2 linked regions of the Callithrix jacchus genome follow. The protein of the gene in region 1 interacts with the protein of each later gene in a biochemical or structural test. Links are inferred from orthologs where the notes say so. Each region holds a gene or a part of one and is shown in the gene's direction. Other genes may lie near its edges.

Region 1 (3,806 bases):
GCCCCGTGGATGGATTGTTCCTTTTTTCCGTGGTGACCTCCTCTCCAGGCTCTGCTTGGTGGGCTTCTGGTGTGGCCGCGCCCTGTGTGTGTCTCTCTCTGTGTCCTGCCAGTGGTTTTACCCTATGGTAGGTTACGTCATGCTGTTCTACCACAGGGTAGAACCACGGACAGGATACCGGGACACCCTCTGCATCGAAGGACTCCTCGTCTGCCCAGCCACAAACAGCCCAGCCGCCGGGGACTGGCCCCCTTGGGACGTCCCCTGGCTGGTTTAGCTCAAGCCCAAAAGGACTCTGAATTCATGCTTGAGGCTCGAAACCAGGGACTGGGTGTTGGTTCAGATGAATGCGTGGAAGTGTGGGCACGGGTATGGTGTGGGGGGTCTGGAGGTGAAGGGAGGGCAAAGTGTAAGAGAAGTGAGATGCCTGTGGCATAGTTGGTGGGGGTGAGGTTTCTAATCGGAAGACAGTACGGATGACATTTTCATGGATCAGGATTGGGAATGTGGTGCTGTGTATTTATGTTATGTTGCCCGTCCAGGTAGAGTGGAAGCAGGGTCGTTGCTATTCAAACAGAACCTTTGCAGAAAGATCATTGTAATAAACATGCATCGTGTCCTTGTGCAGTACACAGCCTATGCAGCTGAGCATGGTGACCCAGGGTACAAGGACCCCCTTTAGCATTAGACGCTCTGGATGTTGTGATGTAAAGTCTAGGAACAGGAACACATCACTTGGGAGCCAACAGGCACACGTTTTCCTGAACCTCATCCTCAAATGCACTTGCCACCCCACCCTGGTTCACTCTAGGTCTCAGCCTGCCCTGTTCACTGATCAGCTTTTCATATAGGTTAGCCCGGGCACTTGTCACGGGACTGGACTCCTTGGAACACGTGTCCGCAGACTACCTGAGACACAATGGAGGAGAGTCACAGCTCCTGTGCAGATGTGCACTAAGGGACCCGTTATTCTTGTCTTTTCTTTCTCTTCCCTCACAGAGAGTGGTTTTTCCTCCTGTCTCACGAGGTGCTCAACCCTATGTATTGTTTATTTGAATACGCGGGGAAGAACAATTACTGCCTGCAGATCAACCCCGCCTCCTCCATCAACCCGGACCACCTCACCTACTTCCGCTTTATCGGCAGATTCATCGCCATGGTAAGGGGGCCACAGGGGAATCTCCTCTTCCTCTGAGACCTCCAGGAAGGGGCAGCATTGGAGGAGGCCCTGGGCCTGTTCACCAGGAGGCAACGTGGCATGAATAGCAGCCCCTGTGGACTGGTGTGCCCTCTCTGATCCCCACCCTTCACCCCCATAGAACTCGTAAAGTAAAAATGCAAAAAGCTCCAGGCGCCGTGGCACGTGCCTGCAGTCCCAGCTACTCGGGAGGCTGAGGTGGGAGGATCGCTTGAGCCCAGGATTCTGGGCTGTAGTGCCCTATGCTGATTGGGCGTCCACACTAAGTTCGGCATGAATATGATGACCTCCCGGGAGCGGGGGACCACCAGGTTGCCTGAGGAGGGGTGAACTGGCCCAGGTCAGAAATGGAGCAGGTCAAAACTCCCATGCTGATCAGTAGTGGGATCGTGCCTGTGAATAGCCACTGCACTCCAGCCTGGGCAACATAGCGAGACTCTGTCTTTTAAAAATAAAATGCAAAAAGCTAGCGAGAGCTCTGGAGAAACCAGAGCTTTCCTCAGTGGCTGCCATATAGGTAGTGAAGTTTCCATGTTGCTTTGTATAGGACTTGTCAAGAGGAAGCCAGGGTCTCGGGGCCACAGACTTTACTGAACATTAAATATGTGCTCTGTTGAGGGCCTTGGGATGACAGGGCTGAGTGAAACCGTAACTGCCCACCTGCTGCCTGTCTCTGGGAGGTGACACTGTCCCGGCATTTGGGAATGTCCCACTGAGACACTAAGCCTTCTGGAAGGACATTTGGAATCAATGCTAGCTTAGAACGAAACCCTGGCAGACCGGCTGGTGCAGGGTGTAGGGACATCTGTTGGAATGTGGGCCATTTCTGGGGAGGCGTCACAGCATCGCATCTGTGTTTAACTGGAAAGAGGGACATGGTGTGAATATGGAAAGGGAGGTTCTGCCACGTGCCCTCTGTTGAGGGTCTTGAGAGTGTGAGAACCTGGATTGAGAAGCGGGGCCCGTGGGAGCCACAGCTTGGGAGCTACATTCATAGCTTGAGATGTTTCAATTCTCACTTTCCTTCGCCTCTTCCCCTGCCTTCCTGAGTGTCCTGCCCTGCTTCCCTGTTATGAGGACCCAAGCTCCCCAGGAGTCTATGACTAAATATGGCCCTTCCCATCGCCTGGGAGTTCTTGGCCAAGGTGCTGGGCTGTGGAAGTGGGCACATTTTTCCCAGGTCTAGAGACCCGCCTGGCCCAGCAGCCAACAGGACAGACCGGTAAAACCCTAGACTATTACTCACCATTGGCCGCCAGCTCTCGCCGTCAGCGGTGTCTGCATTATTTTTGGCTGTCATTGCCACCCGCCCTGAGCACCAGTGAGTCAGGGCTGCTGCCACCTGGAGCTGTTTGGAGCAAGCCTTTTCTGTGAGCATGGGACAGATCTTTGCTAGCCCGGGGCCAGCTGGCCAGTGCATGGGGCAGATGCAGGCCTGGACATGGGTACCCACGCCGGCCAGCTCGGCCCAGTCCCTGAGCTCTGCAGGGCAGGCTGGGGGCCACCTGCAGGTACAAGTTAGGACAAAGGTGTCGTTTACTCCCCTGGCCCTCCTGCTGTGCCCCTGAGGCAGCCGCTGCTGCGATTCTGTCAGGGAAGGAAGGCAGGTGGCTGTGGTGGGGTTTGATATGGAGCATCTGAGAGCTGGTCTGGTGGTGCCCAGGGAAGCCAAAGCTCTGTGCTGTGCCTCTTCCTTCCCAGGCGCTGTACCACGGAAAGTTCATTGACACGGGCTTTACCCTCCCTTTCTACAAGCGGATGCTCAACAAGAGACCAACCCTGAAAGACCTGGAGTCCATCGACCCCGAGTTCTACAACTCCATTGTCTGGATCAAGTGAGCCCCCTGCCCCCACCACCCCCCACACCCCACTGCACTGATAGGAGGGATGTCTCTGGGCGGGGAGTAGGTGCTGATGGCCTGGATTTTGTCTGCCAGAGTGTCCCCTGAGCTCTCATGCAGCTTTTATAAGAGCTTGTGGAGAGAATTGCCTTCTGTGGACAGTTCTAGAATTCTCTCCTTGAGTCAGGGAGCTGTTGCTTGTCACTCTTCTGGATTCTAGGCCACCTGTGAGGCCTTGGTGTCCCACAGGCAACAAAGCAGGACCCAGGAAAGACCCCGCCACTATAGACATCTTCCCGCTTGGTCTCCTGTGCCCCCAGAGAGAACAACCTGGAAGAGTGTGGCCTGGAGCTGTACTTCATCCAGGACATGGAGATCCTGGGCAAGGTGACGACCCACGAGCTGAAGGAGGGCGGCGAGAGCATCCGGGTTACGGAGGAGAACAAGGAAGAGTACATCATGTGAGTCTCTGGTGCCGGGGGACTCTGCTCCAGGAGTCCCAGCAGGTGGCAGGAAACCTAGCGGGTTGCAGAGAAAGATGGGCCGCCACCTGTGGCCTATGGGTCACTGTGGATCCAGGACCCTGCCATTTGCATCTGCCTCAATGGTGGCTACTAGCAGCCAGTCACATGATGGCACGAGCTGGGGGAGCCAGAGCTGAGGTCCTTAGTTACTAGCTCCAAGCTACACTTTTTCGCCACGTGAAAGATTTCAAGCCTGCTGGGTAGAATTTCTTTGAAGTCACAACAAGCTGAACTGTCTGCATG
Region 2 (4,574 bases), on another chromosome or scaffold:
CCTGATTTCAGGTGATCCGCCCACCTTAGCCTCGGAAAGTGCATGAGCCATCACACCCAGCCTGTTTTTATACAGCATTCTGTATATTTATACAGTATACTATATTCATATTTATACAGCATTCTGTATACTATATTTATTCAGCATTCTGTGTTAATAACCTTTGACAATCTTTCCATATCAGGACACAGTCTGACTTCATTCTTTTTAAAGACTGCAGAGATTGCAGGCGCCAAAATACATCTAATCATTGGGGTAGGTCTCAGTATCACCATCCTTAATCCACTGTACTTGTCCTGCAAGGTCCAACCTAGTCTTGCAAGGGACCTCGCAGAAGGCTGCTGTTTCCTGATCTTTTCTAGTGAGGCAGTTTTGTTCCTTCACATAGGGAGACCTCCCTGGAAAGCGAAGTCAAGCAGGTGGATCGCGAGGTTGGCCCCAGCGGGTCAGGAAAGCAACTGTCTGCTGAAAAGCCAACTCTGATCCTTAAGATTAACGAGTAGCGGAACCACCACGTTGGGAGTGCAGCCCCCTCTTTCCGCCTCACGGATTCAGCTTGGAAGTGCGGGGGTTTGTGGGGGGCGGTTAGGGAATGATAGCTGCCCCGTGGAGGATGCCCAGGGCTGGGTCACGAGCTGGCATGAGTCAGCCCTATTCTGTAAGTCCTAGTTATGAGGCTGCCGGTCTCGCGCCGTGCCCAGTCCCACTCAGCCTTCAATCTTCCGGCCGGGCCCCCGCTGGGCGCCCTTGAGGGAACCGCGCCACCGCAAGGGCGGCGCGGAGGCTGCAAGGGGCGCCCGGCCGGCTCGTGAACGTGGTGGAATCCAGACGGGGCGCACCGATCTCCCCTCCCGTCGCGGGACTCTCCCTGCCCCCGGGCTCTGGGCTGGGATTGGTGAGACGGATGACGGGGTGATCGGACGCCGCCAGCCACCGCGTCCCCAAGAGCCGGGGCCTCGGGCTCAGCTAAAGGCCCCAGAGTCACACAAGCGCCCCATAAACGTCTGCTGAGTGAACGAAGGCGCCCCATCTATCAGAGGACTGCTCGGCGATCCCACAGCATGTCCAGGTCGCACTCGGCCGGCTAAACCTCCCGGACGCGGGAGCAGACCCCCAGGATTGCGCCCCTGCCAGAAGGCTGTTTACTTAGGTTCCGCTAAGGAGGCGGGGTGGGGATGGCACAAGCCGATTGGTTATGCAAATTATGGAGCCAATTCCGGTCTATGGTCCAGGAGACTACAAGTTCCAGAATAAATCCTTCCTCCAGCATAGGGAGAGGTCGAGGTTTCCGGAGAGTTGCCTGCTGGGAATTGTAGTCTTCATCTTGTTTGTTACGCAGGCGGAACGGGGGAAGGGAGAGGGAGTAAACTATTACCACGTGACGCTCGGGTCAGGTGGTTGGGCCAGCCTCCGCGCTGGAGCTGTGATTGGCTGACTCTAATAACAAGACGCCACTAGGGGCGGGCCTAAGACGAGCGCAAGCGCACTGCCTTGTGAGTCTCGGGACCCCTGTCGGAGAGACTATGGCGCTCAACAAGAATCACTCGGAGGGCGGTGGAGTGATCGTCAACAACACCGAAAGGTGAAAACACTGCGGAAGGATCCTGGAGGACCAAAGTTCCGGTGTCGAGGAAGTGGGCGGCGGGCGGCGGGCGGCGGGGAATAAGCCCCTGAAGAGGGAGCGCTGATGGAGTGAGGTTGGAGGGGAACGGCTGGGGGCGGGGTTGAAGGAAGGTGGGTGGGCCGTGGGGGGAGGGCCGGGAGATTGCTGTCAGCTGGGAATTGGGGGTGGGACGACCGGTGGGGCCTAGGGTGATTCTTGAAACCCCTTCCCAGAGTTGTGAGTTTAGTAGCTGGGAGGATCCCCAAACAAAAATAATTGTCATTTATTGAACGTCTACAACGTTACTACGTGTCAGACTCTGCGCCTTTTCTACCTTGTTTAATAAAAATTCTGTGCGGTACAATCTACTACTGTCCACATTTCACAGGTAGGTAAAGTGGGGCACAGAAAGGTTAAGTAACTTGCCCGAAATCACAACTCTGTAAGTAACAGAGATGGCAATTCCAGGAAAGGAGTCTTGACTCCAAAGTTAATAGGATTAACTACCATCATACAGGCTTCCAGTATGTTCCAGAACCGATCAGGTTCCAGGTAAGAAACTGAGGCCCCAGAGGTGAAATTAAACAGGTGACGTTGATCAGATGTCTGACAGTTCCTGGCACTGTGTGGGTCCGTAAAGTCAGTCCCTTGCCTCTTCTCTTGAATGCCTGTTGGTTTGAGTCACCCCTGAAGGCAGAGGTCTCCTAATTCAAGGTTCTTTCTACTCCGCCCTCCCCACCCCTTGCTCATTGCATTCTGTCTCTCCTCCAACCTCTGGGCTCCTCAAATGGCTTCTCTCTCCTTTTGTTCCTTGAGTATTGAAAATCAGACCGTTCTGTGATTCCATGGATAGAAAAGGAAAAAAAAAAGTAAAGAAAATCAAACCAGCCTGGGTTGAACTATGCCAACCCTGAAATACCTCTTGAAGGAGCTTAGGAGGCATCTGCATCCCCAAAGGGGACATCAGAGCCCTGTACCCAGCTAAGGCCAGCATCCAGGTGCCCTGTGAGTTGGGAATGTTTGATGAGTCAGAGGAAAATGCCTAGAGTGACCCAGACCACAGGATGCTCACTTTCCGTCCATTTTACCTGCTCAGAGTGTGATGGGCGCAGCCTGTTTCTGGTAATTCCTTCTTTTCTCTGAGAGGTACTTCTCTTTTTTTTAATACCAGTGGTTTCCCACTTACCCTTCCCCTATCAGAGAAAGTTGTGATATGTGGGGGGAGGCAGAAGACAAACAGAACTGTGTGAATCTTTTTATCCTGTAATCAGAGACACCTCACATTGGCTTGTTGCATCTCTGTGTGAGTCAGTTCCCAGGCCCAGCCAGTTTTTCATACCATTTGGCAACATCTCTAGGGACTGTTGTTCTTTCTGTCTCTGTGGAACTTTCTGAGACAAGACTATCCATCTTGCTGGGCCTTCTACCTGGCTTAGAGCTCAGTCTTGCTAAATAAGGCGTGCCTTGTTTTAGAAAGTGCTTCAGCCTCCTGTCTGAATAAGTTGTATCTATAACAATTGAAGTTTAAATCCAGCATTCAAATTTTGATAATTAGGCCCAGCATGGTGGCTCACACCTGTAATCCCATCACTTTGGGAGGCCAAGACAGGTGGATCACCTGAGGTCAGGAGTTTAAGACCAGCATGACCAACATGGTGAAACCCTGTTTCTATTAAATACAAAAAAGTTGGCCAGGCATGGTGCTGCATGCCTGTAATCCCAGCTACTTGGGAGGTGGAGGCAGGAAGATCTCTTGAACCCAGGAGGTGGAGGTTGCAGTGAGCTGAGATCGTGCCACTGCACTCCAGCCTGGGCGACAAGAGTGAAACTCCATCTCAAAATTAAAAAATTGATAAATAGTGAACTTTATTCTTCAAGTCGTGAACTCCTTTGAGAATGATGAAAACTGAACTCTCCTCCCAGAAAATGCACATGTGACGTACACGATCATCTCAAGGGCTTCATGGACAGACTTTCCGGCAGAACCAGCTAAAAACCCAGGTTTAAATGAACCCTGAAGGTGGTCCTATTGTGATGTGTACAGTTATCTCTTAGACGTGTTTATATATTAGGCTTGAAAAGCAAGCCAATAAAAACAACATCCATCACAAGGACTTAAAAGAAAATAGAAGAGTTAAGCCAGCTCTTCTAACCTGCTTAGGGGATGATGGCCTCTCCAGAGCCCTGCGGCTCTGCTACAATGGTGATCGTTTGGGGCTGTGCAAGCAGGCTTTGGGAAATTTTATAGAACCCCAACCTGCTCATTTCTTCCATGGCTAGAGTAATGGGTTTTTTTGTTTGTTTGTTTTTAGTTTTTGTTTTTTTGTAGAGATGGGGTCTCACCATGTTAGCCAGTCTGGCCTCAAACTCCTGGGCTCAGGCGATCCACCCGCCTCAGGTTCCTGAAGTGCTGGGATTACAGGTGTGAGCCCCTGTGCCTGGCCCTGTGATTGGTTTTAATGCAGCACTGTTGAGATGGTTACGAGAGCTGATGTGCTGGACAGCTGCTTGGGAGAAAGGCCCAGTGTCTGGGTGATACCACATCTCCATACTGTCTGACCAAGGCTTTTCCTCTTTTCTCACCACAGCATCCTGATGTCCTATGATCATGTGGAACTCACATTCAATGACATGAAGAACGTGCCAGAAGCCTTCAAAGGGACCAAGAAAGGCACCGTCTACCTTACCCCTTACCGGGTGAGTTACACAGCAGGGCAACTGCTTTAGAGGCTTGTTGCTGCTGTTGGAGGTAATGTGAGTCTTTGTTTCTTTCTTTTTTTTTGAGATGGAGTCTCGCTCTGCCACCCAGGCTGGAGTTCAGTGGCATCATCTCGGTTCACTGCAACCTCCACCTCCTGGGTTCATGCGATTCTCCTGCCTCAGCCTCCCAAGTAGGTGGGATTACAGGCATGCACCAGCCTGCCCTGCTAATTTTTGTATTTTTAGTAGAGATGGGTTTCGCCATGTTAAC

Evidence for each region.
Region 2: the proteins of WWP2 (region 1) and WBP2 form a complex in vitro, tested with the Homo sapiens proteins (4 studies listed by BioGRID, with this or other methods). The link is inferred for Callithrix jacchus from reciprocal best matches to the Homo sapiens genes WWP2 and WBP2.

Annotation. Positions count from the first base shown.
Region 1 is NC_133521.1:27,516,063-27,519,868, forward strand, and holds part of WWP2 (NEDD4-like E3 ubiquitin-protein ligase WWP2), read left to right. Parts: intron 1-999; coding exon 1,000-1,159; intron 1,160-2,899; coding exon 2,900-3,033; intron 3,034-3,359; coding exon 3,360-3,500; intron 3,501-3,806. UniProt on the Homo sapiens protein: E3 ubiquitin-protein ligase which accepts ubiquitin from an E2 ubiquitin-conjugating enzyme in the form of a thioester and then directly transfers the ubiquitin to targeted substrates.
Region 2 is NC_133506.1:131,750,512-131,755,085, reverse strand, and holds the start of WBP2 (WW domain-binding protein 2), read left to right. Parts: upstream 1-1,483; 5' UTR 1,484-1,523; coding exon 1,524-1,582; exon of another isoform or gene 1,583-1,697; intron 1,698-4,191; coding exon 4,192-4,300; intron 4,301-4,574. UniProt on the Homo sapiens protein: Acts as a transcriptional coactivator of estrogen and progesterone receptors (ESR1 and PGR) upon hormone activation. In presence of estrogen, binds to ESR1-responsive promoters. Synergizes with YAP1 to enhance PGR activity.